4 linked regions of the Lonchura striata genome follow. The protein of the gene in region 1 purifies or fractionates together with the protein of each later gene. This does not show direct contact. Links are inferred from orthologs where the notes say so. Each region holds a gene or a part of one and is shown in the gene's direction. Other genes may lie near its edges.

Region 1 (7,494 bases):
TATGTTTGTTAGCAACTTGCACTCCAGCCAGAATCTAGGATGCTTTGTTAGATCAATTTTATAGTAAAATATAGTTGAGGGGAAAATAATAATAATAATAAAAACCCAAACCTTAACACATTGCACATTTTTCACAAACAGGAAACTGTTTGTAAAATCAGCACTTATCTGCATTAAATAATCTGTGTTTTTAAGTGCTGCCAATATTCAGCTTACTCATCTGCACATAAAACCTGCAAGGTTTCTGAAAAATAATCAGACTGTGCAAATATTACAGTTTTTCTTTACATACAGAAAAGGAAAAAGTGCCACCACGTTATTGTCTTGCCTTCAGCTTTCCCTGGACTAAACAAAAAATGGAAGATGTATAGCACTTAGCAGGACTGCACTTTTTCATGGAAGATGTATAGCACTTAGCAGGACTGCACTTTTTCAGTCAATACCAAGCTGGGAACACCTCAGTCACACCACTAAAGAATGCCTCTGTGGGGATGTGGGAAACTTTTAGCAGGCAGCTACAGTTTCATGAAAAGTTTTCTGAAACGCAAAAGTATGTTCAGATTTCGCAAATTAATAAGTGGAATGAGCAGACACTTTAATGGCATGGGGATGTGACTGAGTGTTGTAGGTTATCTGTTTATAAAATACAAAGATGAGAAAGCAAAAATATTAAAGTTTACTTCTAAATATTGAAGTTTAAAATATTAAAGTTTACTTTTCTGTATTTTTATTCTATTTTTGAAGACTTCAAAACAAAGAGCAAGTAACTTGTTGTACATTTCTCAGAGATAAGCTTTGCTTCACAGGCTTTGACTCTAGCACTAACACTGTGGCCACAAGCACACAAACACACACCCCTCCCAAAACCATCTTTTTCAGTATTGATACTCCCATGTCATAGTTGAGATGGTCACAAAACAAAGCAACACTCCATTTTCAGGAGGCTTCAAGCTTGTTTTTATTATAGTATGCATGCTTTTTATACATTCTTACAAAACTCATAAGTTTACACTTTACTCATTGGTCAGAAAAGACAAAAAAAGTGCTTATTGGAATCGACAGTTGCATGTTTCTTTTATTTATCCTTTCTTTCTTGGTTTCTATGTCAACGACCTTGGTAGGAAATTCTTTCAAGGATCCTCTTATCAAACTTCTCTCTGGCTCAGAGAAGTCACTGTAAAACCTCTTCCACACTCCCATACCCCAAGTGACAGGATTTACTTATTGTCACAATCCATTCTGTTCCCAGACAACCCAGGCTTTCACCTGAAAGACAATTCCCTGAAATACATTCAGAAATGTTTAATGGTGTCAGCCTTCCTTGACTACTGTCCGTTCTGGTCACAGCTGACTTTGGTAACTGCCTCCAACCCACTGCATGTTACCTGTGCTAATACGGTAACAGTGGCTTTCCTGCAGAGAACTCAGACATCCTTCACAGGTGTGATGGTGACAAACAAAAAAATGTCAAAAGCATGTGTGTTCTGGACATATTAGAAATTACACAAACTCAGAACAGAAGGATATGATAAAGCAAACCATGAATGTTGTTAGAGGAAAAAAGAGAAAGAGGAAAGCTCTAAAATTCCAACTTCAGCAGGATGTGTTAAGCATATTTTTTTAAACTCAGTCCTGAGAGAGCATGAGAGAAGGGAATGAAAAACAGGCAGTAAGAGATAAATCCTATCAATTGAAAAGGCCTCTGTGGGGATGGAGATCTGAGAGTCAAAGAATACCAGATCCTGGTTTTGTCTGTCTTTTGAAGAGCGGACCTTAAATTAAACTCTTCCTTGAAATTACATTACACTGTGACAAATTTTTAAAATGAAGCACAAAAAGAATACAACTTTCCATGAAACAGAGTTTAAAGTTGACCTTAAAATGTCAATATTTATTTCTCATAAAAAGAGCCAATGTGTGCTTTCTATTTCAAATCTCTCTTTAGTTGGAGACGTCTGACGTGGTAAAATCAAACATTGGTTTCAATACCTGAAGTGGAAACAGAGCAAAGATGCAGTAGATTTACAGCTATACTCGTTCTGGAAGGCATACAATTCAAATGCTATGTAAAACTAAGGAAAGAAACATTCAAGCAATTTTGTAAACATTTTTACATAAGGATCGACAATCTGGGAAAGAGGGTATCTCAGTGTGGTTTTGACTTCTTAGAGTTTGTCAAAGTCTGGAAATCTTTCCAAATGTTTTATGCAAATGTGAAACATAGCACAGGTCATCAGAAAATGAATCTGGATTGTCTTTTCATGCTTTCCTTCATGATCTCTTTCCTTTCTAAGCAGACATTTTTTGTCTTCCACATCCTGCAATGTTTCAGCTCAGGACTAATCCCAACCATTAATTACCATGCAGTAACTGGATCCATGTGCAGGAGTTTGGATGTTCAATGCCTCCACAAAAAAAAGATTAATAATGCAAAGAAGAGTACAGAGTTCCAAAATGTGGTTATTGCTACCTCCCCTGCTGATAGGACTGAGGGTAGTGAGCAGGCCAGAGGTACTGTACATGGTAGGTTTGGCCATGCAGGCTTGGTCTTTATTGTCCTTGAAAATCCCCAAAGCCAAGCAGTCCCTGAAAGCAGAGATGGGGCTGAGACAGATGAACTTTGTGAGGTGGACGGTATCTTCCAGATTGTTTGATCTGTGCTAGGCTGCCTTGACCTGTTTGTTTGGTTGGTGTAGTGAGGTGCTGGGCAATGTTTTTGTAAAATTTAGTTGAGTTGCTGGGCAAATAAAGTGTAATTTTGTTGCTTCTCTCAGTTACACTTATTTTTTGTAGAGTTTGCCTAATTGCTTTATTCAACATACATAATATCCCTAACAGCTACATAGGAACATACTGCAAGTCCAACTGTGGGCATCTGACATGAGTCTGATTGAGTGATGCCAGCTCGGGAAGCAGGCACAATCCTATCCAATTTTCAGGGATTAGTGCTAATGTGTAAATGAAAATTGAGATTTGTATTTGAAAACTGAGATGATTTCACAAGATTCCAGAATATGTTGTTACTTCTTTCAGGAGCCCTCATGTTGTGTGATGTCTCTAAGTTAGGGGATTTGAGTGCCCACTTGTTTACTCAATGTGCTGCATTCTTGACATGAAACGTGGAACATTTGTGCATGACTGTGAAAAATGCCAAAAGCTGGGCTGTAATGAGAAAGATTGTTGTCGCTTTAGTTTAGTTCCAAGATGCTTGTTCTACAAGATTACTGGCTGACTTTGTATTGGATGGGTGACTGTGACAGCCATGGAGAGAAATTGGGAAATGCCCAGTTACTGGTGACATACAAGGCCCTTGCTAAACACAACAGTTTTTGTATAATATCCGGACTGATCTCAGCAGCCACAGAGGTTTGTCAGCACTGTGACACCCATCTGTGTCTTGACTGCTGTGAGCAGCCTGGGACACCACAATATAAGAAAGACATTAAGCTATTAGAAAGTGTCCAAAGCAAAGCAACCAAGTTGGTGAAGGAACAGCTGAGATTACTTGGTCTGTTCAGCCTGGAGCAGAGGAGACTGAGGGGAGGCCTTAATGTAGTCTGCAACTTCCTCATGGAGGAAGAAAGGGGACCAAGCACCAGTCTCTTCTCTGTGGTGACCAGTGACAGCACCCGAAGGAATGGCCTGAAGTTGTGTTAGAGGAGGTTTGGGTTGGACATTAGGAAACGGTTCTTCACTCAGAGAGTGTTTGGGCACTGGCACAGGCTCCCCAGGGAAGTGTCACAGCACCAGCCTGACGGAGCTCAAGAAGTGCTTAGAGAACTCTCCCAGGTCCATGGTGTGACTCTTGAGGATGGCCCTGTGCAGGGCCAGGAGCTGGACTCGATGAACCTAAAGGATCCCTTCCAACTGAAAGTGTTCTGTGCTTATCTGACTTTGTCCATGTTCACGGTCGTGGAATTGTCTTAATTATAGTGGTGCTAAGAGATGCTCAGAGCAGCAGGAACCAACCGCGTCTGCCCTCGCCCGCCTGGGTCGAGCCGGGGACTGGAATATTCACCGCAGCCAAGGACCCGGGAAGGGACCGAGCGCTGCTCGCCGTGGCTGCTGATGGCGGCCCCGCGCTCCTCGTGCCCTGCCCACGAACTACAGCTCCCGGCATGCAGCGCAGCGCGGCCCGCCCGGCCTCCCTCCGCCCGTACTACACCTCCCGGCGTGCGCCTGCGCCCGCAAGGCACGCCGGGACGGCCCATTCCACGTGGTGCGCTGCCCGCGGCCGGGGAGGTGCCCGCGGTTTGCGACGTCCGTTTGCGGCAGCGCGCGCGGGCGCGGCCCCGAGAGCGCGCCCGGGACCGGCGGCGGAGCCGCTCCTGGCGTGGGGCGAAGGGAGGGACGGAGGGAGGGAGGAAGCGCCGGGGGCTGCGGCTCGGAGCGAAGGGAGCAGCCCCGCCGCTGGATGTTCCGCGGGGCGGCGCGGGGGCCTCCTCCTCCTCCTTTTCCTCCTCCTGCTGCTGCTGCTGCCGCCGCCCGGTGTGTGCGGCGGGGCGGGGCGCGGCTGCCGGGGGCGGCGGCGGATCGCGGCGGGCGCCCAAGATGGACTATGACTTCAAGGTGAAGCTGACCGGGGAGCGCGAGCGGGTGGAGGACCTCTTCGAGTACGAGGGCTGCAAGGTGGGCAGGGGCACCTACGGACACGTCTACAAAGCCAAGCGCAAGGACGGGTGAGTGAGCGAGCGAGCGGCGCGGGACCCCGGCCCGCCCGCGCCCTCCTTCCCCCGGCCGCCTTCTGCCCCACAGGCTCGGCTGCCTCCCCGCCGCTCCCCGCTTAGTGCCGTCCTTCCTCCGGGCCCGCCTGATCCCGCCCGCTGAGCCCCGCGCTAGCCCGGCCGGCCGGCGCCTGGTTCCCCCTGGGTGACTGCGAGCGTCGCCAGCCCCGCGGCGCTGTACCGGAGTCGTGTTTCGGTAGCGGCTGGGCTTGCAGAAACAAATTTCGTGCCCGAGGGAAACCGTTCCCTTCATGGATTCTCGTTATGAGTATATCAGTGGCCGCTTATACTGTTCAGCCTGATCATCGGCTTCATATAACTGGTTTTTTGTTGTTGTTGTTTTTAACAATGCCTTTTTAAAAAATATGATTTATTACTTGTAGTCACCATTTTGGGTCGTCTTGCTGGCTGCTTCAGAAGCCAAAGTCTGCTCGTGCTTTTGGGGCTTTAGAATGCTTTAAACCACCTTTTGTGTATGACCAGTTCTTGTTACAGACCTGAGTAAATTAATTTACTGGTATAAACATTTTGAAGAAAGACCTAATGAAAGTGTCATTTAGGTTTCCCTCTTCCGTGACATGGCATCACTTGCTGAACAGCGGAACAATAGGAAGTAGGGAGAGGAGAAACGGGAGAGGCACGGGTTGTTCCTGTAGCAGGTCCTAAATTTTGAATTGCATCTAGTCTTTCTCTTAAAGTCTCACTGCAGTGGTGCTCCTTATACTGTCTTTCAGATAAGGTGCATTTTAAAATTCTGGCTATTATTTTTACATCGGATAAATAAACTTTTAAAGCAGGCAGTGGTCAGTCATGGCCAAAATATGATCTGGTTATGTTTACATAAGCTTTTGGTTCTAGAAGGAAATGCTCTGGCTATTACCTAGGGAACAGCTGTAATGAAAATGGTTGCACCTTGTGTTGTCTCGTCTCTGTCTTAAATATGCTGATATTAATTGCAGCACAGTTACTTTAGCCTGAAGTTTGTTTGATGGTAGGAGTCAGGTAACTGCTTTTTTTGCAGAACTTTTATATTTAGATCCCTCCAGCCATTCATAGAATTTGGGCAAAATAAGAATTTTTCCTTTCTATTCTGGGAGGGCAAAAGGAAATAAAAACCAGTTGTAAGTGTGATGGGCTGTTGCCTCAAGTCTCTTTATATGCAGGTACCAACGCTGCTGATACAGCTAGCCCTGGTTTCTATGCCCATACCGAGATCTGTAATATGAAAAATAAGTCGAGGTACTGAAAGATACGGCTACGTTTCTGATGTTTATGTCAGGCAGCTTTGCAGCTGTTCAGCATGTTGGACTGCAGTAAGGTGTAGGGAATTCAGCATGTCATACTGCTGAAGCATTTCTGGTGAAATCATCCGTCTGCTTGATGTTGTTTGGGAGAGAGTGTTTAAAAATGCTGGTGGTAGTGCTGTTCTGAGAAATTTCAGGAAAAATTTGAATTATTTGCTTTAAAAATTGATAGTTGCTCAAAGGTGGTTTTACAGTAGGATGTATATGTTTTTAAATCTTCACTCTTGTTGGTGAGTGGGGAAATCAAGGTATGGTATTTTATTAAAATTTGTGGGGAAAAAAAGATAAGCAATATATATTGTCTCCTTTTTTCTTTGCTTTGTTGTTCATTTAGTGCCTTGCTTCCCATCCCTTTCTGTAATGCTTCCCATTTGCCTTTCTGCTTTCTGAAAACTTCTTCTTTTAAATAACCTGTGTAATTGCCCTTGGATAGTCACTAAAATATGTAAAATAGAAGCATCCATAGATGGTTTTGTAGCTTGTGATACATTTGTACATATGTGATCTTAAATTACAAGGGTGGAATTAGGATTAAAGTTGAAGGTTTTGTTTACATGCTTTTATCCAGAGGGAATCAGTTAAAGCATAGAAGCAAATAATGACATTTAATGTTCCTGAAGCTGTAGTAATAGATGAATGGATGTTATGTCCTGTGGTGGGGGGTACCTGCAACAGAGTTCAGTATTTGTTTATTAGTACATGCATATATTCAAAAAGTACTCTTGCATTGTTTTAGTATTCCCCAAATACTAAGTAGTGATGGATCAATCATTTTTTTAGTTGCTTCTATAGTCTATAGAACTCAAACTTTCTTTTTTATATTTCCCTTAAAATTACAAGCATTCTTTAAACTTTGCTACATGATTCTAATTCTTAATTTAAATAACACAAATCTTCTAAGATATGCATGGTAATTTTTAGAGTACTTTGAAGAGTGGCCTGCAGGACTGCAAATATTTTGTTAACAGTATTGGTGCAGCTTTTTCTTAAATGAAGTTTTCTACTATGGATGACTAAGAGGTAGAAGGATCACGAAAATAACTAAATTTTAGTAGCTCAGTTCGTGCAAATGTATCTTCTAAGGCCTTTGGTGATAAAACCCAGTTCAAGAATACCAGGAGCAGTGTCTGTAGTACAACTGCAGTCTTTGCCTCCATTTTTTTTTTTTATTTTACTGCTTTCCAGGTTTTACAGCTGTCTCTGAGGTGCTGTAAGGCAATTGAAAACTAGATAGCAGCTCTGTATCCTAGTCCTAGGAAGTTAGTTGCATCACTTGAACTACACAGGAATATTCTGGAGGACAGTCTTTCAGGAATCTTGATGGAGTGAGAATCCTTCTAATGCAGGAGAGATGTGCTGTAGTATGTGTGCTGGTGACCAGATGGGAGTGTAACCCGGGTTTCTTTCATGCCTTGCTCCAAGATAAAAGCCAGTCCAGCCCTGCGGTGCCCTCTGCCATGAGGTGA
Region 2 (7,268 bases), on another chromosome or scaffold:
GCACAAGCCCCTTGCCAAAGCCCTGTTGCCTCATGCTGGCCCTGTAACCGGGTGTTTTGAAACGTGGCCTCTCCCTGGTGTGGCACTCGGGCCATCCCTGAGGACAAGAGGGTGAGGAGGGGGCTCAGGGGTGTGGGGGTGGCCCTGCACTGCCAGCTGCACCCCACAGACCTCTGCAGTGGGGCTTGGTGTTTTCTGTTGTCAGATCTGGAACGACTTCATGAACCGGTCGGGAGAAGAGCAGGAGCGGGTCCTGCTCTACCTGGAGGAGGAGGCCAGGAAGAAGCAGAGGAGGAAGCTGCCTGTCAAGGATGAAGAGAAGTGGAAAGGTGCTGGGAGGGGACGCAGGGTGGGGACAGCCTCTCCCTTTCCTTCCTTGTGTACATTCTGGGAGGGCTGCACCCACTCCCTGTTAATGGTGGGGCTGGGGGATGCCTGAGCCCACCCCCTGTGTGTGACAGGGTGGGGGTTTGCCTGCAGACCCCCACCATGGACCAGGGAGGGTTTGTGGGAGCCAGGAGTGGCTGGGATGATGGCACAGCAGCCATCCCTTAATGTCACACCCCCAAATCTCTGCACCCCGACCCTCCTGTGCTGGGGAGAGCATTGCTGTTTGTGAAGGGGGCACGGGGCGGGGGGGGACACTGGGTCCTCCCAAAAAGTGACACTGTGGGCTCTGGAGCTGTGAGCTGTGTCCAAATCCCTTCTCCCTTGTCCAGAGCTGCCTGCCTACACGCCCCAGGAGTGCTTCCAGCGCATCAGCCGCCGCCTGCGTGCCACCCTGAAGAGGGGCAGGATCCCCATGGTGAGCTGGAGGCTGGGGCAGCAGAGCTGGGGCTGCCAGGGGTCCCTGTCCCCAGAGCTGTGCCCTGACCCTGTGCAGAGGATTTCAGAGGAGCTCCTGGGAACGCGCTGGGGCTGCTTGCAGAGACACCCAGCTCCCGGCACGTGGGGTTTCCTGGCTCGGTTCAGATTTTTCTGGTAGTTACAGGGCTTTTTTTTTAGTGGTAGTTTCTCAGTCTTTGTGCAATGACAGCAGGTGACAGGTGAAACCAGGCGTGTTTGTGCATGGGGACAGCAGTGGAGCCTTTAGGGTCTTCACAGTGGCCCACACAAGGTTATTTGGGGGAACTCCAGAGTGTTTTGAAAGGGGGTAAAAGTGCACCAACTGCTGAGCAGGAAGGAGAGAGGTGAGTGCAGCCCTGCACTGCCTGCCCAGACACTTGCTCTACCAGTCCTGGGGGTGCTGGCTCCCTGCTCCCTCTGCTCTGTGGGGCTCTGTTTGTTTGCCTTGTGCTAATTAGAGCTTCTAAATGCAGCCTGGGCTCCTCCTGCCCACTGGCTTGTTTGTCTTCCAATGAGACGCGTGTGCTGCTCATCTCTGGGGTCACAGAGCTCCGCAGAGCAGCAGAGCACTGAGCTTTGACTGTTGGGAGGCACGGGGCTCCCCTGGCTGCTGTGAGCACGAGGGATGGTGCCAGCCCTTGGCACACACAGTGTGGAGTTGGCAGGAGCTGGATCCTTCCCTGCCTCAGGGGCTGGAGATGGGAGATGTCTCCTCTCCCTGCTGTCTCCCGTCCAGATAACTTGCCCGGGAGCTGCTGGCAGCAAGTCTTGGGGAATCAGTTGTGCCAGGGCTGTGCCCAGCACTGTCCCCTCCTCGCTGAGCCCCTGCCTCTCCTCACAGGGGACGCTGGAGGGGCTGGAGGAGGAGCTGCTGGCCTTCTTCTCTGTCACCCCGCACTCTGTCTACACAGCACTGATGGATAACAGGTATTCCCCCATCTCGGGGTGCTGGGCTTCCCCATGCCCCAGGGCTGCCCCAGGGCTGCCCCAGCCTGCAGAGGGGCTTTGGGAGCACAGGACACCCCTCAGCCTCCCCTCAGCCAGGCCTGGCTCTCCACCTGGGGACACCCACCTGGCCTGGTCCCCGTGGAGCCCCTGGGGGAGGGAGGCACCTGGGGATGCCTGCGCAGGGCTTCGTGGCACTTTGTGCTCCCCTTTGTGTCCCTGGGAGGATGGAGGGCAGGGCAGCCTGTGGGACACACTGCTCAGGCTCTAACCCTGTCCCCTGTCCCCCAGCTTTGAGCGGCTCCTGCTCCACGCGCTCTGCCAGTACATGGATCTCGTCTCTGCCAGTAAGAGCCGCGTGTCCGCTTGGTCGATTTTGATTTTGTTGTTGTTTTTTTCCCCCTTCCCTCCATCACTATCTCTCCTCTCCAGCTCTGCCTTTTCCTCCCTTCCTCCTGCCGGTCCCACCTCGCCCTGGGGCTCGCAGATAACCCCGCGGTCCCTCCCCTGCCTGCTCCCTCCCCACCAGTGCCCGGAGCTCCCTGGGCAGCCCCGGCCGTGTCACCAGCGCTGCGGGCAGCCGCACACCCGGGGCTCGCCGGGACCCAGCTCTGACGGGAAATTTGGGTGCTCCAGAGCAGGAATCTGCTCGCCGGGTTCCCTCTCCTGCAGCTGCTTCCTCCTCCCGAGGAGCAGCCGCGCTCTCGTACTGCCCTGGGCACCCCCAGAGGTTTTGTTGCCAAGGCAGGGAAGGCATCCATCCCTCCGGAGGAGGCTCTGCTGCCGAGCGTTTCATTCGGAGCCGCTTGTGGCCATCAGCCTGAGCTCTAATGATGGCGAGCGAGCCCGTGGTGCCGGCAGGGGACAGAAAACAGGGGACAGAAATCTCACCACGAGCCCCAGGGGGAAAAGGGGAGGGCTGTGGCTGGGAGCGCCTGTTGGAGACCCCCGAGGTGGGGAGGAGGGATGTGCTGAGCGCTCCGTCCCACCCGCAGGTTCGGACATCGAAGGGAAACGTCAGATGAAAGTGAGCAACAAGCACCGCGTGTTCCTGCCCCCGGAGCTGCTGCTCTCGGACTACCTGGGGCAGATGAGCTGATGCCCCCACAGCTGCCCTGCCCCTCCTGTGTCCTCTGCAGCCTCTCCCGGAGCCTCGGCGGGGCAGAGCCGGGGGTTTGTGCCTGTGCTGGCCGCGGGTGCGGGGCAGGAGCCCCTGGCCCGCCCCGGCTCCCCGCGCATCCCTCCTGGAACTGTCGGTGTGTCTATTTATATAACCCAGGTGTTTTTAAAAAAGAATCAGGCAGGGCCGAGCCTCGCTGTGGCGCTGACGCTCGTGGGGTGATTTCGGTCCAGATTTTTCTGCGGTGAAACAGCTCCCGGCGGCTGCTGAGCAATCGCTGAGCCGGCGGAAGAGCCCCGGGGCTGCCGCGTTCCCGCAGCCCCGTGCCCACCGGGTGTCCCGGGGGGCTCGGGGCGTGGGGAGCTCCGGATGCTTTTTACCCCACGCCCTGTGCCCTGCCCACCCCACGGGGCTGTTTTTAAGTGTAATATAGCTTGTGTGTTTTTTATCACGTGTGTGTATATTTACATGTGTGTGTGTGTGTGTGTGCGTGCGTGCGTGCGTGTTGGAGGGGTGCAGCCCCTTTCGGGGCTCTCTCTGCTTTTCCACAGCTGCCATGGGGGCAGATGGGGGCATTCTGGGGGTCTCTCTGTGTGCCCCCCGGCTTCGTGGCATGTGCCAAGGTTTGCTCGGGGCAGGGCGTGCCCTGGGGATCTTTGCTGGCTGCTTTGCCCCAGCATGATGACACCGACTGCCATTAACCGTGGGCACCCCCAGAGCCTGGGGAACCCCTCGTGGGCACCCCCAGAGCCAGGGGCGCCCCTCGCTCCTCCTTGGCTGGTGTGGCGTTCAGAAACAATAAAAACGGTGCTCCCCTACTCCGGCTCTGTGTCTCCATGTGGGGAGGGGGAGGAGGGAGGTTTTTGGGGGGTGGCGGAGCAGCTGGTGGGGCACGGGATGGAAAATGTGGGTGCGGGGAGGTGCGAAAAATATGGAACGCTTCACGAATTTGCGTGTCATCCTTGCGCAGGGGCCATGCTAATCTTCTCTGTATCGTTCCAATTTTAGTATATGTGCTGCCGAAGCGAGCACGAACTGCCCTGCACCCGCAGCGCTATTTAAAGACTCACAGAAATAATATTGTCATGATAGGGTGAATGAGGTGCGGCCCAATATTAGACGCGGAATGAGCTTCCCAAGTGTTTCTCAGTTTTTTTCTCTGTTATTTTCTTGGATTTTCCCCAAATTGTCCGAAATTCGCCGGTTATGTTTGCTATCTCTGCCCGATGCATTGTGGGTAGTTTGTTATGGTAATTATACCCTGCTGGATGGCTCTCTCTGCGGGGGTGTCTGTGGCAGTGCCTGAGCGCGCGGCGCAGGCGCGGGCCGGGCAGCCCGCGGGCGGGCCGGGGTCCTGCAGAGCGGCGGGCGCCGGTGAGGGCGGCGGGACCGGGAACGGACCGGGAACGGGCCGGGAACGGGCCGGGAGCCTCCCGCGGCCTCCCCGCGACCCCCCGGAACCTCCGGGACCGTCCCCGGCGAGGGGGGACGATCCTCCTGCCCGCCGTACGGTCGGTACCCGCGGGCCGCTCCCCCCGGGACCGCCGCGGTTTGTCCCGGTGCGGGGCTGTTCCCACCCGTGTCCCCAGGGCTGTGCCCCCCCCCATGGCCCCTGAGGTTGGGATTCCCTGTGTGTGACCGGCCTTGTGTCGCCCCCAGGCAGGACCGAGGCTGTCCCGTGTCCAGTATCCCGTGTCCAGTGTACCGTGTCCGGTGTACCGTGTCCGGTGTACCGTGTCCCGGTGGGATGGATCTGGCCTACGTGTGCGAGTGGGAGAAGAAGCCCAAAAGCAACCACTGCCCCTCCATCCCGCTGGTGTGCGCCTGGTCCTGCCGCAACCTCATCGCCTTCACCACGGACCTCCGCAATGAAGAGGAGAAAGGTACCGGGAGCCCCTCGGGAAATCCCTGCTGGCAGCTCCCGGTGCTCCCGGGAGAGGCCAGGATCCGCCGGGCCGCAGCTCTGCCCTGCCCCGGGCAGTTCCGGGCTGCTGCTCCTCCTTTTCCTTCTATCCCTCAGCCTCTGGCAGCGTCTCACACGCGTTTGTTTCCTCTAAACCAGCACCGACTTCCCAAATCTACACCATGCTGGCTCCTCACTGAGCTCCCAGCAGAGTTGCTACCCTGCCCCAAATGATTTCTATAAAATATTTTATATTTTCCCTGCACCAGCTGAGGCTCAGGAGCAGTGCCAAGGCACAGGGAGTCACTTCTCTGTTCACACAGATCTCACCCACATGGTCCATATCATCGACACCGAGCACCCCTGGGATGTCTACTCTGTGAACTCGGGCCACACCGAAGTCATCACCTGTTTGGAGTGGGATCAGTCAGGTGGGCTGGGCTCCCTCCACATTGGCACCGTGTCCCACCCCTGCTGTGTATGTCCCCAAGGGGTGGGCTGTGATTCCTTGTGGGGTTTTGGCTGTTTCCCCCATTCTCATGCAGTGTCACTGTCACAGGCTCCAGGCTGCAATTCCTTGTGGGGTTTTCTCTGTTCCCCCATTCTCATGCAGTGTCACTGTCACAGGCTGTAATTCCTTGTGGGGTTTTGTCCATTCTCCCCCATTCTCATGCAGTGTCACTGTCACAGGCTCCAGGCTGCTCTCAGCAGATGCTGATGGCCACATCAAGTGCTGGGGCATGACAGATCACCTGGCCAACAGCTGGGAGAACACGGTGGGCAGCGTGGTGGAGGGGGACCCGGTGGTGGCCCTGTCCTGGCTGCACAACGGCGTCAAGCTGGCTCTGCACGTGGAGAAGGTTTGTCTCAGCTCCGTGGGGGATCTGGGCTGGAGCTCTGGCTCAGGTCTTGGCAGAGAACTCAGGATCCTGCCTGTGTTCCGTGCTCTGGGCTCTCTTGTGGCCTTGGGGAATTTTTGCAGTCAGAGAGAAGTCAGATTCCTGGTTCCTGCTGAGTTCTGAGGGGGGTTGGAGCCTTGTTTCTTTTGGTGTTTCAGGTGTGTCTCTCCTAGTTTGGTACCTCATTTCTAGGCAGGAACACGGAGATAGAGCAGTTCTTTCCTCACCTGTGGTGATTCAGAGAAAATGCATATGGAGTGCTGAGGTTTGATCTGGGCATTTGTGCACAGACCTCAGCTCCTCATGTGTGATCCTGCAGACTCTGAAAGCCCAAAGCTGCCGAGCACAAGTTCCCTGCTTGTGTTGGGGATGTCCCACATAAATCCTGCCCCTGTCCCTCGAGAAGAGCCCCGCAGGCACAAATTTTGGCCGCAAACACTTTGGTTTTGCTGACCTTTGTTACAGTCCGGAGCCTCGAACTTCGGCGAGAAGTTCTCGCGGGTGAAATTCTCCCCGTCGCTGACGCTGTTTGGGGGGAAGCCCATGGAGGGCTGGATTGCTGTGACCATCAGCGGGCTGGTCACCGTGTCCCTCCTCAAGCCCAACGGGCAGGTGCTGACGGCCACCGAGAGCCTGTGCCGCCTGCGCTGCCGCGTGGCCTTGGCCGACGTCGCCTTCACGGGCGGGGGCAACATCGTGGTGGCCACGTCCGACGGCAGCAGCACGTCCCCCGTGCAGTTCTACAAGGTGTGTGTCAGCGTGGTGAACGAGAAGTGCAAGATCGACACCGAGATCCTGCCCTCCCTCTTCATGCGCTGCACCACCGACCCCGCGCGCAAGGACAAGTACCCGGCCATCACCCACCTGAAGTTCCTGGCTCGGGACATGTCAGAGCAGGTGGGAAGCTGCTCTCTGCTCCACCTGGTCTTCCTCACAGGGTCTGGGGTGGCCAGCTGTTGGATAGATAAATGTAATTATTCATAAATAATACAGCCAAGATGAGAACGGTCCTCCCTGCTAGCCGGACAATGTCCCTGCCTACAGATGGGTCCAGGGGTCAAGTGGACTGTTCCATCTCACCCCCCAAAATGTACGGTTCACCCCACACCTGTAACCCTCCCCTAAAACATCAGGTGTCTGTAACCCCATTGGCCCAAGTCTTGTTCCAGCCTGTTGCAGAGGATAGATAGATATGATTGTTATTTTAGCTAGCCGGATGTCACTTCTACCCTTGGATGAATCCTGGAGTGAAATGGACTGTTCCATCCCACCCTGCAAAAAATTGTGGTTCATCCCGCACCTCTGTACCTGCCCCTAAAACAGAGTCTGTAACCCCATTGGCCCATACCTTGTCCCAGCCCACCTGGGAGCCCCTAATAAGGGGGCTCTGAGCGGCCATGCGGCCTCTTGGCCCTCTCCTCCCCTCTTGGACTTCCTCTCTCCCTGGGGCTTCCCCTCTCCTAAACCCTCCGTTTCTCTCTCCCCTCCCCCGTCCTCCTAAGCCCAGCCACGTGCTACGCCTGAGAGCACGAGGCTTGGGCATCCCTGAATTCTC
Region 3 (7,186 bases), on another chromosome or scaffold:
CGGCACCCACGGGGAGGTGGGGACAGTGCCCACGGGAGTTTGGGGCCCCGGGATCCTGGGGCGGTGCTCGTGGTGGGGTGAAGCTGGTGCCCACAGGAGTTTGGGACGGTGCTCACGGGGATGTCGTGACAGTGACAACAGGGACGGGGGATGGCGACCACCGCGTGGCGGGCTGTACCGAAGGGGGACCGGAGACGGTGCCCAGGGAGGCCCAGGGGGATGCCCGTGGCAGGGCGGGGATGGTACCCACAGGCACTGGGAACAGCACCCACGGGGATGCTGTGACAGTGACAACCTGGTGTCCACGAGGGCAGGGCACGGCACCCGCAGGGAGCTGGGGACGGTGCCCACGGCGATGCTGTGATAGTGACAGTGACCCTACAGGATTTGGGGACAGCACCCAGGAAGGGCTGGGACGGTGCCCTCGCTGGGTGGCGGTGGGGTGGAGATGATGCTCAAGGAGATCTGGGACAGTCCCCATGGGGCTTGGTGACAGTGCCCACGAGGCAAGGGGCAGCTCCACACCCCGGATGCCCAGCCCGGCCCGGGGAGGGGCACACACCAGACACGGGGGTCCCCCTCAGATCCACACCGCCCCGGGCAGGAGACAATCCCGCAGGACACCCGCACGTCGGGGGGCCCTGCCCCTGCGCCCCCCGGGGGATGTGTGGGACGGGGAACAACGGGGGTCGTACCCCGCTGTGGGGCCGGACCCGGAGCCGCCGTGGGGCTGGGGATGGCGGCGGCACCGGGAGCCCGGGGGGGATCACTGGGGAGGGCGCTGAGGGTCGCCCACCGACCCGGCCGTGCCACCCCACCCCCTTCCCAGCAGCCCGTGCTCCCAGCCCCCCCTTTTCCTCCCCGGACTACACGTCCCGTCATGCCCGGGCTTAAAGCGGCTCTGCCGCCCCCCTCATCCCCGCCCGGAGCCCCGCAGCTCGGCCCTGGGACCCCCGGGGGGTTCAGTCTGGCCGCCCCCCACCCCCCAGCCCCCTGGGTACCCCCCTCCCTGGGCTGCACGGGCGGTGCGGTGATACCCAGGGGATGAGGGGGATGGGGGTCTCCCGGGCATGAAGGCTTCTAGGAGAGGAGGGTCTCCAAGGGATGAAGGTTTCCTTGGGAGGGGTGTACCCAGGGGATGGTTTCCCACACTTGGGGAGCGCAGGCAACACCCAGGGAAGGTGAGGGGGGGGTCCCCACGGGCCAGCGGCTGTCAGGGCACGGTGCTGCTCAGAATGGGGACAACAAGGGGGCAGTGCTACCCGGGGATCTCCAGGGGATGGTGGTCCCCAGGTAATGCGAGTCCCCAGGGGAAGGTGGTCGCCAGGGGATGGGGGTACCCAGCGGATGGAGGAGAGCGACACCTGGGACTGCCACAGAACCCATGGACCTCCTGCTGCCCCCGGTCCCCACAGGCCGGTGGTCCCCATAGCCCCCATCGATCCCCTGGCCCCCCGGGTCACCCTGGGGCCCTCATCCGCACGGCTGGCGGTCCCAGCGTGGCGGGGCAGCAGCAGCGTGACGGCCCCCCCGTCCCTCCCCGCCTGTTCCGTACACTTTATCCTCAGCAAACACGGCTCGGCCACGGCCCCCCGCAGCCGTCTGCCCGCGATAAGGCTGTGGCTGAGCTCGCCTGCCCCCAGCCTATGGGGCTCAGCCATCTCAACACCACCTCATGTCCCCAGATCCCCCTGCTTGAGGTTGCCTGACAGCCTCTATCCCATTGGGGAAACTGAGGCAGAGCTGGAGTTTGCCTGTGGCCTCTCTGGAGCACACAGACAGGCGCTTCTCGCGCTCATCACCAGCTCCCCGTCCCCACTGAGGTTCCCCCAGTGCCACCACAGGTCTCTGCACTGCCCCAGTAGAGTGGGGACCTTGTGCCCTGTGGCAGACCCTGATCTGAGGGGATTTGGGATTTAGAGGGGCTGTGCTGCTCTAGTTGGCTGGAACACGCTCATTAAAGTTCACCCCGCTGCTCTGTGGCAGAAACACTAAATATAGCCCCAAGTCACCAGTGGTGCCCCCCAGGACCCCCAAGAAGGTGATGACACCAGGCACCTCCATCCCCAGCACTGGCTACCCCCATGGGGCAGCACCCACCACCAACTGGGGGGTCCGGACGGCCCCATGGGGGTGTCCCTCTATCCCGGATCAGATCCTTCACACCCCACCAAACACCAGTCAGCAGCCATGTGCCCCCCGGCAGGACGCGGCACCAGAGCTCCCAGCCACCCCACTGACCCCGTGGGAAGGGGAAGCCCCTCACGCTGGCCCCCGCTCGCCCCTCGCTTGCCCCCGGCGCTGGGAACGGCCCCAGCCCCTTCCGGCCCCCCCGGCCCCGGGCCGGAGGCAGCTGTGCCGGGGCTCCCTGCCAAGGCGCCGAGGCTTCGACGCCTTCCCCCCAGCCGGCCGCCCCCGCGGCACCCCGGGGAGCTGCGACCCCCCGAGCACCCCCTGCCACCCCCGACCCTGCCAGCACCACCACCACCACCCCTGCCCCGGAGTTTGGGGGTGCTGTGCCGGGGTTGGGGGGGTCCAGCAGGGCTCCTCAGAGCCCCTCCTGCCTGGAGACCCCCGTGGTGTCTGTTCCACGGCCAGCTGTGGGAAGCGACCCCCCCCTTGCACAGGAAATCCCTCCTCATGGATAGGGCTCCCCCCCGGCGGGACCCCCCCGCTGCCGGGGTGTCCCCCCCGCCGCCGGGGCCCCTCGCCGCCCGGGCAGCCGCTGGCCCGCTTAATCCCGGCCCCGGCACGGGGGGATTTGCTGCGCCCCGGCCCCATGAATGATTAACCGGGGAATTAAGGGGCCGCGAAACCCCCCCGGAGCAGCGCGGAGGGGGGGGGGGGTGTGACTGAGCTCCCACCCCAGCCCCCCTGGAGGTCTTCACCCTGCTCCTGAGCCTTGGGGGTTCCCTTGGGGAATTCTGGGGGTACTGAGGGTTTTGGGGGGGCTGGGAGTGTTCTAGGGGTGCAGAGGCCTGGGGGTGTTTGGGTTGCAGGAGGGGTGCTGGGGGGCTATTGGGGGCATTCTGGGAGGGTTGGTGCGCTGGGAGTACTGGGGGGGGCTGTCAGTTCTGGGGGGCTGCCCCCCAGCCTTGCTCCCCATCCTCCCGTTGCCATGGCGACGGCTGGCACCATCCCTGGGGATATTTTTAGCTGCTGGTACTGCAGGGAGGGGGTGGGGGGCAGCCCAGGCCCATGGCGGCGCCACGTGTGTGCACACACGTGTCTGCAGCACACGGCCTTGCACACGCGTGTGTGCCCACCCCTGCGCTGGTACCTGTGCGTGCACACCCGCCCGGGGGTGCTGGTGTCTGCGCGTGTGTGCAACAACACACACAGACACACACCGCACACACTCATGTGCATCCACACGTGTGAACACACCCGCCTGTGTCACACGCAGTCCTCAGTGCACGCCTGTGGTTGCACACGCACGCGGGCACACCTCTGTGCTCACACACTGGTGTGCACACCTGTGCTCATGTGTGTGCGTGTGTGAACATCTGTACATCTGTGTGTACACACGTGCACACACACTGTCCTGTGTGCACACCTGCACAAACGCACAGAGAAACATGCTGGGAGATCCGTGCTGCCACCCCAGAGCCTTTGCACACTCACGCCTTTGCACCATTTTTGCACATCCCTTGTTTTTACACTTACCCCGTTTGTACATCCCCTGTTCTTACACTTACCCCGTTTGTACATCCCCTGTTCTTACACTCACCCTGTCTTTGCACAACTCCTCATTTTCACACGTATCCTTCCCCCCGTGTTTGTACCCCCCCACCTTTCCACACCCCTGCTATTTGCACACCCGCCCCTATTTGCCCACTCCCGTGTTTTCAACCCCCCATTCTCACCCCGTGTTTGCACACACACCCTATTTGCACACTCACCTCTGGTGTTTGCATGTCAAATCCCATTTCCCGATTTTCACACTCACCCCATGTTTCCACACACACACCCCGTGTTAGCCCACCCTCCCCCGTTTGCTCACCCACACGGTGTTTGCACTCTCACCTCGGCGTTTGCACACTCGCCCCCCGTTCCCACCCACCCTTTGCACACTCACTCCCGCCCCCGCCCGCCCTAGCCCCCCGAACTACCACTCCCATCACCCCCTGCGCCCGCCGCGCCCCGCCGCCCAATCAGCGTGCGGCTTGTTGGCAGGCGCCGCAATGGCGGTGCCCAAGCGCTGAGGGCGGCGCCGGGCCGCGCTGAGGGGCGGCGGGACCCGGCGGGACCCCCGGGCACCGAACTTCGGGGGCTCCGAGGGGTTCCGGGGCTGCTCCGAGGGGCTCCTCAGGGCCGGGGAGCGGGCAGACCCCCAGCTGCTGCCCTCCGAAGCCGCTGGGCCGCTTCCCCGCTCTGTCCGGCCCTGCCCGGCCGGGTCAGGGCTCCGTCCCCCTTCGCCTTGAGCTGTCGGGCCGCGGGGTGACCATGAAGGTGGTGAACCTGAAGCAGGCCATCCTGCAGGCCTGGAAGGAGCGCTGGAGCGACTATCAATGGGCCATAAACATGAAGCGGTTCTTCCCCCGCGGAGCCACCTGGGACATCCTCAACTTGGCAGGTCGGGGGGAGGCGGGGGGTTCCCCCTCCTTACTGGGCACACTGGGATGTTTTGGGGGTCCTCACGCGTTTATTTGGGTGTTGTCCCCAGTGTTCCCCTCTTTGGGGTGCAGGCAGGGGTATTATGGGGTCCCTTGTCGCATTTTGGGTCCCCACTTCCCACACCACTTTTCACGCCAAAATTCCCATTCCCAACCATGTCAGTCCATTCCCAACTGTCCCCCCCCACCCCGCTGTCCCCGTTTTGGGATCATTCCCTCCTTTTCCCCCATGGGAGGGTTCAGGGGTCAGCACAGCGTAGCTTTTGGGACCGAGAGAAACAGCTTTGAGTTGAGCCAGGAGAGAATTATGTTGGAAATTAGGAGAAATTTCTTCACTGAAAGGGTGGTTAGGCGTTGGAACAGGCTGTGGTGGAGTTGCCATGTGGATGTGGCTCCAGGGCACTTGGGTTATGGTGAGATGCTCTTGGAGGTCTTTCCAGCCTTAATGATTCCCCGATTTCGTGATTCGAGCACTGCACAGGAGCCAGGTGCTGCTCCCAAGGCTGCTTCCCAGCCCAATTCAAGGGCATTTCACAGAAATCCTGCCAAAAGCTAGGACTGGTTTAAAGATTTGCCAGGCTCTCTTGCTAATTATAGAAACTTGGTGCTGGGATTTTCCCTGTGCAGCAAGTCCCGGGATAAATAAACAGAGCTGCTGCTCCAGGGAGTTTAAAGGAACCAGCCCCACACAGGCAGCAGCTCTCACTCCTCTGAGTGTGGGGAACTTTCCCCTGTGCATGTTTTTCCCTTCTCTTCATCCTCTCATTGGATTTTCTGTCAGTGTCTGTTTTTTGTCACTGCTGAGCTGTCCCTGCTGGGTTTGTCAGCTCTGAGGTGCGGCTGGAGGGGCCAAATGGAGCTGTGGCCGTGGGGGGATGGATTTGCTCTGCATGGATTTGCTGGGGGTGGGGGTGGTTGGCTTGAGGGCCAGTCCTGCTGCTGCCCAGCTGGTCCCTGAGGCTCCCAGGTGTCTGTTCCCACCCTGGTGGCACTGGCTCCTGCTCCTCTGGCAGTGAGGCCTGCGGGGTACTTGGCTTGGGCTCGTCTGTGTATCCCCAAAAACAGACGCAGGGAGGATAATTCCCTATTATTTCTGCAGGAATGGGTTTCTCCTGGCTCACATTTACCCAAGGCTCAGTGGCTTCTTTGGAGCAGGAGGAGAAGGAGCTGTATCCCCTTTTCCTTTTGGGAGCCACGCGGGCAGGGTGCTGGCCGTGACCCTGGGTATTGTGTGCACACAGGGAGAGCCCATTCCCGAGGTCCCAATGGCTGGACCAGCAGCTCCCTTCCTCACCACAGCCCCCAGAGCTGTCCTTTCCCGAGCTCGTGCCCCTTTCAGCTTGGAAGTACAAAGGAGGGAAAGCTGGCACGAGCTGCCAGGATCACGGCAGGGCCTGGCAGATCGCTGCTGACACGTCTGCAGCAGGGAGCAGCATGTGGCTGGCTCGTGGTGGCACTCTGGGATGGGCTGGGGAGGGGACGGCTGCCACCAGCCTTCTGTCCTCATCCCAGACGCTCTTGGCCCAGGATTCAGCCTTGGAGCGAGACCCAGGGAGTCTCCTTCTCCTGCACTCGGGATCCGGTGGTGGCTTCTCCTCCTCGGCTTTGGGGTGACAACTTCCCACCCGGCTGCTGCTCCCCCTTTCACATCTGGGTGCTCTGACCTACTTGCAGCCTGTGCTGCAGCCCGGGGCCTGCTCGGGGTGGTGCTTCCTGCACTCTGCCATGGCTCAAATGGACAATTAAAGGCTTGGCTGAGCAGATGGGACGGGCAGAGCCCCTCAGGCCACCGAGGGCCAGACGGGCAGGGCTGCGCCCAGTGCAGGGGACTGGTGGCCCCAAGCTCAGCCCCAGGTGCCTGGGCAAAAGACACTCAGTGGAGGCTGCAGGAGCCTCCTGGCAAGAACTGGGAGGGAGGGGAATGTGGAGAGCAGCAGCAGAAATTTCAGGGCTGGAGCGCTGAAGAGCTGTGTTAGCAGGAGGCTGCGAGCTCTGCCTGAATTATTCACTGGCTTGTGCCCGTCAGGGATTAGGAAGTTGTGGGATTCAATGAATTTAGGAGAAAAACTGGTGTGGAGTCACTGTGGTTGGTACAGTTGGACTTTGCCAGCTTCCCTGTGGAATGAGGGGAGAGCAGATTGTGTCCGTGTGTTCCCCATGTGCTGACCTGGGACCCTCTTTCCTTGCAGAGGCTCTCCTGGAGCAGGCCATGATTGGGCCATCCCCAAACCCACTCATCTTATCCTACCTGAAATACGCCATCAGCTCCCAGGTAAGGACCTGCTGGTGCTGCTGCTCACCTTGCAGCCTCGGTGAGGTTGGGCAAAGCAACTGGGGTGTTGGTGGTGGGCAGGCACCCCACATCTCCCATGTGAGCCTCTCCTGGGCTGGGCAGATACCCCAAACCGCCATCTGAGCCTCTCTGGGGCTGGGGCAGGCAGTGGAGGGCTCAGCGCGTGCCCTGGGCAGGGATGTTTCCATAAATAGCCTCTGCCATCGCCCAGGGTGGGAATTCTGCCCCCCGAGAGGCTCTGCGCTCGCTGTGAGCGCCACGCTTTCACATCCTGGCA
Region 4 (7,982 bases), on another chromosome or scaffold:
CATGCAAATCAGGGCGCAGGGCGCGCGAAACAGGGAGTGGCATGCAAATCAGGGCGCGCGGCGCGCCAATCAGGGAGCGGCATGCAGATCAGGGCGCGCGGCGAGCCAATCAGGGAGCAGCATGCAAATCAGGGCGCGCGGCGAGCCAATCAGGGAGCAGCATGCAAATCAGGGCGCAGGGCGCGCGAAACACGGAGTGGCATGCAAATCAGGGCGCGGAACGCGCCAATCAGGGAGCGGCATGCAGATCAGGGCGCGCGGCGCGCCAATCAGGGGGCGGCATGCAAATCAGGGCGCGCGTCGCGCCAATCAGGGGGCGGCATGCAAATCAGGGCGCGGGGCGCGCCAAACAGGGAGCGGCATGCAAATCAAGGCGCGCGGCGCGCCAATCAGGGGGCGGAATGCAAATCCGGGCGCGCGGCGCGCCAGTCAGGGGGCGGGGCATGCAAATCAGGGCGCGCGGCGCGCGAATCAGGGGGCGAAATGCAAATAAGGCCGCGCGTCGCGCCAGTTAGGGGGCGGCATGCAAATCAGGGCGCGCGGCGCGCCAATCAGGGGGCGGCATGCAGATCAGGGCACGCGGCGCGCCAATCATGGGGCGTCATGCAAATCAGGGCGCAGGGCGCGCGAAACAGGGAGGAGCATGCAAATCAGGGCGCGCGGCGCGCCAATCAGGGAGCGGCATGCAAATCAGGGCGCAGGGCGCGCGAAACAGGGAGGAGCATGCAAATCAGGGCGCGCGGCGCGCCAATCAGGGAGCGGCATGCAAATCAGGGCGCGGGGCGCGCAAATCAGGGGGCGGCATGCAAATCAGGGCGCAGGGCGCGCGAAACAGGGAGGAGCATGCAAATAAGGGCGCGCGGCGCGCCAATCAGGGGGTGGCATGCAGCTCAGGGGGCGGGGCGCGCGAAACAGGGAGGGGCATGCAAATCAGGCCGCGGGGCGCGCCAATCAGGGGGCGGCATGCAGCTCAGGGGGCGGGGCGCGCGAAACAGGGAGTGGCATGCAAATCAGGGCGCAGGGCGCGCCAATCAGGGAGCGGCATGCAAATCAGGGCGCGGGGCGCGAGAAACAGGGAGTGGCATGCAGATCAGGGCACGCGGCGCGCCAATCATGGGGCGGAATGCAAATCAGGGCGCGGGACGCGCCAATCAGGGGGCGGCATGCAAATCAGGACGCGCGTCGCGCCAGTCAGGGGGCGGCATGCAAATAAGGGGCGGTATGCAAATCAAGGAGCGGCACGGAAATCAAGCCGCGGGGTGCACCAATCAGGGGGCGGCATGCAGATCAGGGGCGGACACGCGAATCAGGGAGCGGCATGCAAATCAGGGCGCGGGGCGCGCGAAACAGGGAGCGGCATGCAAATCAAGGCGCGCGGCGCGCCAATCAGGGAGTGGCATGCAACTAAGGGGGCGGTATGCAAATAAGGGAGCGGGACAAGCGAATCAGGGAGCGGCATGCAGATCGGAGGGGCTGCGCCAATCAGGGGGCGGCATGCAGATCAGGAAGGGAAACGCGAATCAGGGAACGGTATGCAAATTAGGGCGCGGGGCGCCAATCAGGGAGCGGCATGCAAATCAGGGAGCGGGGCGCGCGAAACAGGGAGCGGTATGCAAATCAGGGCGCGCGAATCAGGGAGCGGCATGCAAAATCTTGGGGCCAATCCCCAAATTGGGTGATTTTTGGATAATTTGGGGGGTTTTTTTGGGGTGATTTTGGGGTGATTTTGGGTGTGATTTCGGGGTGCTTTTGGGTATTTTTTGGAATGATTTTGGGGTGATTTGGGGGGTTCTTTTTGGGGTGATTTTTGGGCTGATTTGGGGTATTTTTGGGGGTATTTTTGGGTGTGATTTTGGGGTTTTTTGGGGTGATTTTGGGGTTTTTTTTGGGATGATTTGAAGGGGTTTTTGGGTCGATTTTGGGTTTTTTTGGGGTGATTTGTGGGTTTTTGGGGTCCCTCACCTCCAGCGTGTCACGGTCGGGGCCGGGGGGGAGGGGCCAGCAGGGGGCGCCCATCCCCCCCCCGGGGCTCAGCAGCCAATCCAGGAGCGGGAAACAGCCCTGGGGGCGGGGCCGGAAAAGGGGCGGGGTCAGGAAAGAAGGCGTGGCCAGGAAAGGGGCGGGGCCAATCAGGGGAGACAGGACAGAAATGGAGGAGGAGCTAAAACTGGGGGCGGGGTCACCCCAGGACCCCCAAAAATGCCTCAGAGCCCTCCCAGTAACTCCCAGTAACTCCCAGTAAGTCCCAGTTGGCCCTCCCAGTGCTCCCAGTGCTCCCAGTTACCCTTTCCATTGCTCCCAGTCCAAACCAGTTTATCCCGGTCCCTCCCAGTTCCTCCCAGTAACTCCCAGTGCCCCCCAGTCTGTCCCAGCCCCATTTCCAGTGCTCCCAGTAGCTCCCAGTCCCACCCAGTTCCCCATCCCAGTCCATCCCAGTTTATTCCAGTTTATCCCAGTCCCTCCCAGTTTGTCCCAGTCTGTCCCAGTCTCACCCTCAGCTCCCGTTTCAGCCTCTCCTCGTTCCGCACCGGCAGCAGCTGCTCCCGGCCCAGCAGCAGCACCTGGAAACTGGGATGGACTGGGACAAACTGGGACAAACTGGGAGGGACTGGGAGGGACTGGGATGGACTGGGACAAACTGGGATGGACTGGGAGAAACTGGGAGGGACTGGGAGGGACTGGGAGAGACTGGGAGGGAACTGGGACAAACTGTGACAAACTGGGAGGGACTGGGGGGGACTGGGATGGACTGGGACAGACTGGGAGGGACTGGGAGGGAACTGGGACAAACTGGGAGGGACTGGGACAAACTGGGAGGGACCGGGAGGGACTGGTCTATACTGGTTTATACTGGTCTATACTGGTTTATACTGGGCAGGCTCTCACCAAGGCGCCGAAGGCGGAGTCGAGGATCTGGGCGGGGGCGGGGCCAAAGCTGAGCCCAATCAGGGTCAGGCTGGGGGGGGACGACCCCTGAGTGACCCCTGAGTGACCTCTCCCTGACCCCATGACCCCCTGTGACCCCTCCCTGACCCCATGACCCGCCATGACCCTTGAGTGACCCCGTGACCCCCCATGACCCCTCCCTGACCCCGTGACCTGACCGCAGCCCACCCATGACCCTGTGTGACCCTGTGACCCCTCCCTGACCCTGTGTCACCTCCCATAACCCTGTGACCCCCCGTGACCCTGTGACCCCTCCCTAACCCCATGACCCCCTGTGACCCCTCCCTGACCCCATGACCCGACCGTGACCCACCCATGACCCTGTGACCCCTCCCAAGACCCCGTGACCTTCCTGTGACCCCTCCCTGACCCCATGACCCCGTGACCCCCCCGTGCTCCCCACCCTGACCCCATGACCCAATCCCTGACCCCGTGACCCCGTGACCCCCCATGACCCCATCCCTGACCCCGTGACCCCGTGACCCCCAGCTGACCCCGTGACCCCCCCAGTGACCCCTGGGTGCCCCCTGACCTGTCCGGCTGTCCGGCCCAGCCCAGCCGGGCCGTGGGCGTGGCCGCCTCCCGCAGCTCCGCCCCCGCGGCCGCCCCGAAGAGCCACGCCCCGTGCAGGGCCCCGACCAATGGGAACGGCACCTGCGGGGGTCAAAGGTCACCTCCCGAAAAAAGGGGGAGGGGAGGGGAGGGGGGGGCGTGGCCTCACCTGGGGGCGGGGCGGGCGGCAGAACAGGGGGAGGCCGCTGGCCGTGGCCACGCCCACCAGGAAGGCCCCGCCCTCCTCGCCGGACATGGCCACGCCCACTCGTGCGGGACACGCCCCTTTTCGAGCTAAGCCACGCCCCCTTGTAATGGCCACTCCCTCTTAAACCCCGCCTCTTGCCTACAAACCCCGCCCCTTGCTCATAAGCCACGCCCCTTTACTAATAAACCCGCCCCTCGACTTCAGCCACGCCCATTTGTCCTTAAGCCTCGCCCTTTGATATTAAACCCCACCCCTTTGCTCTTAAGCCACAACCCTTTGCTTTAAGCCACGCCCTTTACTCTCAAACCACGCCCCTTTTGCTCTTAAGCCACGCCCATTTGCTAGTAACCCCGCCCCTTTGCTTATAAGCCCCGCCCTTTTGCTATTAAGCCACGCCCCTTTACTATCAAGTCCCGCCCCTTTGATATCAAGCCACGCCTCTTTGCATTTAAGCCACGCCCCTTTAGGGTAAACCCCGCCCCCTTTGCTCTTAAGCCACGCCCCCTTGCTTTTAAACCACACCCCTTTGATCTCAAGCCACGCCCTTTGCTCTTAAGCCACGCCCATTGGATATAAACCCCGCCCCTTGTCTCTTAAGCCACGCCCCTTTGATCCTAAGCCACACCCCTTCGCTTCAAACCACGCCCCTTTGCTCTTAAGCCACGCCCCTTCGCTTCAAACCCCGCCCCTTATCAGTCAAGCCACGCCCCTTGGCTCTAAAGCCACGCCTCCTGATTCTAAACCCCGCCCCTTTTCTCCCAAACCCCGCCCCTTCCTTCCAAACCACGCCCCTTTTCCCACAAACCACGCCCCCTTTCCTCTCAAGCCCCGCCCCTTCCTTGGCCCCGCCCCCTCCCTGCCCGCGCGCGCTCCCCGCTCAGTTGGCGCCACTCGCCGCCATTTCCCGCGCGGGGCACGCCGGGAGCGCCGCGGTTGCCGCGCAACGGCGGAAGGGGCGTGGCTTCCCCTACAACGCGATTGGTCCATGAGTCGCAACGGCGGGAAGGGGCGTGGCTTCCCCTGCAACGCGATTGGTCCATGAGTCGCAATGGCGGAAAAGGCGTGGCTTATTCTGCAACGCGATTGGCCGATGAGTCGTTACTATAGCAATGCGGAAGGGGCGTGGCTTCCTTATTATCCTCTTCAATTCCATTGGTCGATGAGTCGTTACTATAGCAATGCGGAAGGGGCGTGTCTCCTTTCCTCCACGCTGATTGGCTGAGGCAGGCGCAACGCCCGCGTCCCTCCTTTCCGCGCATGCGCCGCCGCCCGGCGCGGACGCGAAGGAAAACCCCTTCCTCCTCTCCGCGCGCCGCCGCCGGTACCGACCCCGGGGAGTTGTGGGGGGGGGGGGAACCGGGAGGGGGGAAGTTAATTAAAAACCCAAATTGCGGCACCGCCAACCCCGTGAGAATGCCGGGCGGGGTTGAGGGGGGAGCTGCGGGCGAGTCGCCGCTTCGGGCTCGGTTCCGGGGAGTCACGGCGTTGTTGTTTCCCCCCCGCAGGAGCCGGCCCCCCCCGCGGGCCGCCATGGTCGTGCCCGCGCTGGAAGGCCCCGCCCCCCCCGCCCTGGTGGCCGACGTGGTTTTCGTCATCGAGGGCACCGCCAACCTCGGGCCCTACTTCGAGGCTCTGCGCAAGCACTACCTGCTGCCCGCCATCGAGTCAGCCTCATTAACATATTCATTAGCTAGTTAATTAGCGGGGCCCTCCCCCTAATAGATAAATGAGGCCCCGCCCCAAAAGAATTAAAGGGAACCCGGTGTAAAGTAATTAATGGGATCCTGCCCCAAGCACTACCTGCTGCCCGCCATCGAGTCAGCCTCATTAACATATTCATTAGCTAATTAATTAATGAGAACCCTCCCCATATAGATAATTGAGGCCCCGCCCCAAAAGAATTAAAGGGAACCCCGCTATAAAGTAATTAATGGGAGCCTGCCCCAAGCATTGCCTGTCTGTGCCATTGAGTGAGAGTTAATTAGCGATTTAATTAGCTAATTAATTAGAGGGACCCCTCCCCATAATGATTAATGAGGCCCCGCCTCAAATTAATTCAAGGGAACCTGTCATTAATTAATGGGAACCCATCATAAATTAATGGGGATCCTGCCCCAAGCACTACCTGCTGTCCGCCATCGAGTCAGCCTCATTAACATATTCATTAGCTAATTAGTTAATGAGACCCCTCCCCATATAGATAATTGAGGCCCTGCCCCAAAAGAATTAAAGGGAACCCGGTATAAAGTAATTAATGGGATCCTGCCCCAAGCATTGGCTGTCTGTGCCATTGAGTGACAGCTAATTAGCGTGTTAATTAGCTAACTAATTAGAGGGACCCCTCCCCTAATAGATTAATGAGGTCCCATCTCAAATTAATTAAAGGGAACCCGTTATAATTTAATTAAAGGGAACCCCGTTATAAAGTAATGAATGGGATCCTGCCCCAAGCATTGCCTGTCTGTGCCATTGAGTGACAGCTCATTAGCATGTTAATTAGCTGATTAATGAGGTAATTAATTAGAGAGACCCTTCCCCTAAATGGTTAATGAGGTCCCATCTCAAATTAATTAAAGGGAACCCGTTATAATTTAATTAAAGGGAAGCCAGTATAAATTAATTCATGGGATCCTGCCCCAAGCATTGGCTGGCTGTGCCATTGGGTGACAGCTAATTAACATGTTAATTAGCTGATTAATTAGCTCATTAATATGATAATTTATTAAAGGAACCTCTCCCTAAATTATTAATGAGGCCCCACCTCAAATTAATTAAAGGGAACCCGTTATAAATTAATTAAAGGGGATCCTGCCCCAAGAATTTCCTGTCTGTGCCATTGAGTGAGGGCTAATTAGCATGTTAATTAGCTGATTAATTAGCTAATTAATGAGATAATTTATTAGAGAGACCCCTCCTCTAATAGATTAATGAGCCCTCGTCTCAAATTAATTAAAAGGAACCCGTTATAATTTAATTAAAGGGAACCAGTTATAATTTAATTAATGGGATCCTGCCCCAAGCATTGCCTGTGTCTCCATTATGTCAGGCTCATTAGCGTGTTAATTAGCGTGTTAATTAGCATGTTAATAATTGGGACCCTTCCCCAAATTCCCCCAAAAATTCCCAAAACCCCCAAATTTCCCCAAAACCCCCAAAAAATTTCCAAAATTCCCCCAAAACCCCTCCAGGACCCCCCAAAATTCTCAAATTTCCCCTAAATTACCCCAGGATTCCCCAAAATTCCCAAAATTTCCCCAAAAATCCCCAAAATCTCCCCAAAAAATCCAAAAACTCCCCTAAATTTCCCCAGGACCCCCAAAAATTCCCCAAAACCCCCCCAAAATTCCCAAAATCCCCCCAAAAAATTCCTCCAAAATTCCCCCAAAAATTCCCTAAAAATCCCCCAAAAATTCCCCAAATTCCCCCAAAAATTCCCCAAAAATTCCCCAAAAATTCCCCAAAAATTCCCAAAATCACCCCAAAACCCTTCAGGACCCCAAAAATTCCCAAAATTCCCCAAAATTCCCCAAATCCTCCAAAAAATTCCCAAAATTTCCCACAATTTCCAAAAATTCCTCCAAAATTCCCCCAAAAATTCCTCCAAAAATTCCCCAAAAATTCCCCAAAAATTCCCCAAAAAATTCCCCAAAAATTCCCCCAAAATTCCCCCAAAAATTCCCCAAATTCCCCCAAAAATTCCCCAAAAATTCCCCAAAAATTCCCCAAATCACCCCAAAACCCTTCAGGACCCCAAAAATTCCCAAAATTCCCAAAAATTCCCAAAATCTCCCCAAATTCTCTTTGCCCCCCCAGGTATTTCAATGGGGGCCCCCCCGCGGAGACCGACTTCGGCGGAGACGTGAGTGGGAATTAAATTAATTGATTTAATTAATTTTATTGGTTTTATTTTATTTATTCTTATCGTAATTTATTTTATTTTCTATTTTATTTTATTTATTGATTTAATTTTTTAAAAATTTAATTTAATTTATTTTGTTGTCTTGTATTACGTTGTATTGTGTTTATTTTGTTTTCTTTATTTTATTTTGTTTTATTCTCTTTTTCTTTTATTTTATGTACTTTAATTAATTCCCATTTTAACTAGCTAATTAACATGTTTATTAATCAGTTTGGGGGCACCCAGTACAGCCTGGTGCCTATTTTATAACATTTAATTGAATATAATTTAATTAATATTTAATTAACCAAAGTGGGGGCCCCCAATACAACTTGGTGGTTGTATATTTTAATTAATTCCAATTTTAATTAGCTAATT

What was found.
Region 2: the proteins of CDK8 (region 1) and MED16 purify together in Homo sapiens (affinity purification with mass spectrometry; 10 studies listed by BioGRID and IntAct, counting the BioPlex papers as one, with this or other methods). This does not show direct contact. The link is inferred for Lonchura striata from reciprocal best matches to the Homo sapiens genes CDK8 and MED16.
Region 3: the proteins of CDK8 (region 1) and MED24 purify together in Homo sapiens (affinity purification with mass spectrometry; 13 studies listed by BioGRID and IntAct, counting the BioPlex papers as one, with this or other methods). This does not show direct contact. The link is inferred for Lonchura striata from reciprocal best matches to the Homo sapiens genes CDK8 and MED24.
Region 4: the proteins of CDK8 (region 1) and MED25 purify together in Homo sapiens (affinity purification with mass spectrometry; 8 studies listed by BioGRID and IntAct, counting the BioPlex papers as one, with this or other methods). This does not show direct contact. The link is inferred for Lonchura striata from reciprocal best matches to the Homo sapiens genes CDK8 and MED25.

The regions. Positions count from the first base shown.
Region 1 is NC_134604.1:69,723,963-69,731,456, reverse strand, and holds the start of CDK8 (cyclin-dependent kinase 8), read left to right. Parts: upstream 1-4,488; 5' UTR 4,489-4,551; coding exon 4,552-4,679; intron 4,680-7,494.
Region 2 is NC_134630.1:4,456,209-4,463,476, reverse strand, and holds the start of MED16 (mediator of RNA polymerase II transcription subunit 16), read left to right. Parts: upstream 1-4,265; 5' UTR 4,266-4,285; intron 4,286-4,313; exon of another isoform or gene 4,314-4,422; intron 4,423-4,570; 5' UTR 4,571-4,658; coding exon 4,659-4,794; intron 4,795-5,137; coding exon 5,138-5,245; intron 5,246-5,504; coding exon 5,505-5,674; intron 5,675-6,178; coding exon 6,179-6,610; intron 6,611-7,268. Other genes in the region: R3HDM4 (R3H domain-containing protein 4), read left to right, coding at 206-329, 720-805, 1,688-1,773, 2,083-2,138, 2,787-2,890. UniProt on the Homo sapiens protein: Component of the Mediator complex, a coactivator involved in the regulated transcription of nearly all RNA polymerase II-dependent genes.
Region 3 is NC_134627.1:7,031,985-7,039,170, forward strand, and holds the start of MED24 (mediator of RNA polymerase II transcription subunit 24), read left to right. Parts: upstream 1-4,181; 5' UTR 4,182-4,446; coding exon 4,447-4,576; intron 4,577-6,805; coding exon 6,806-6,888; intron 6,889-7,186. UniProt on the Homo sapiens protein: Component of the Mediator complex, a coactivator involved in the regulated transcription of nearly all RNA polymerase II-dependent genes.
Region 4 is NC_134640.1:2,261,081-2,269,062, reverse strand, and holds the start of MED25 (mediator of RNA polymerase II transcription subunit 25), read left to right. Parts: upstream 1-4,970; 5' UTR 4,971-5,027; intron 5,028-5,211; 5' UTR 5,212-5,236; coding exon 5,237-5,370; intron 5,371-7,519; coding exon 7,520-7,565; intron 7,566-7,982. UniProt on the Homo sapiens protein: Component of the Mediator complex, a coactivator involved in the regulated transcription of nearly all RNA polymerase II-dependent genes.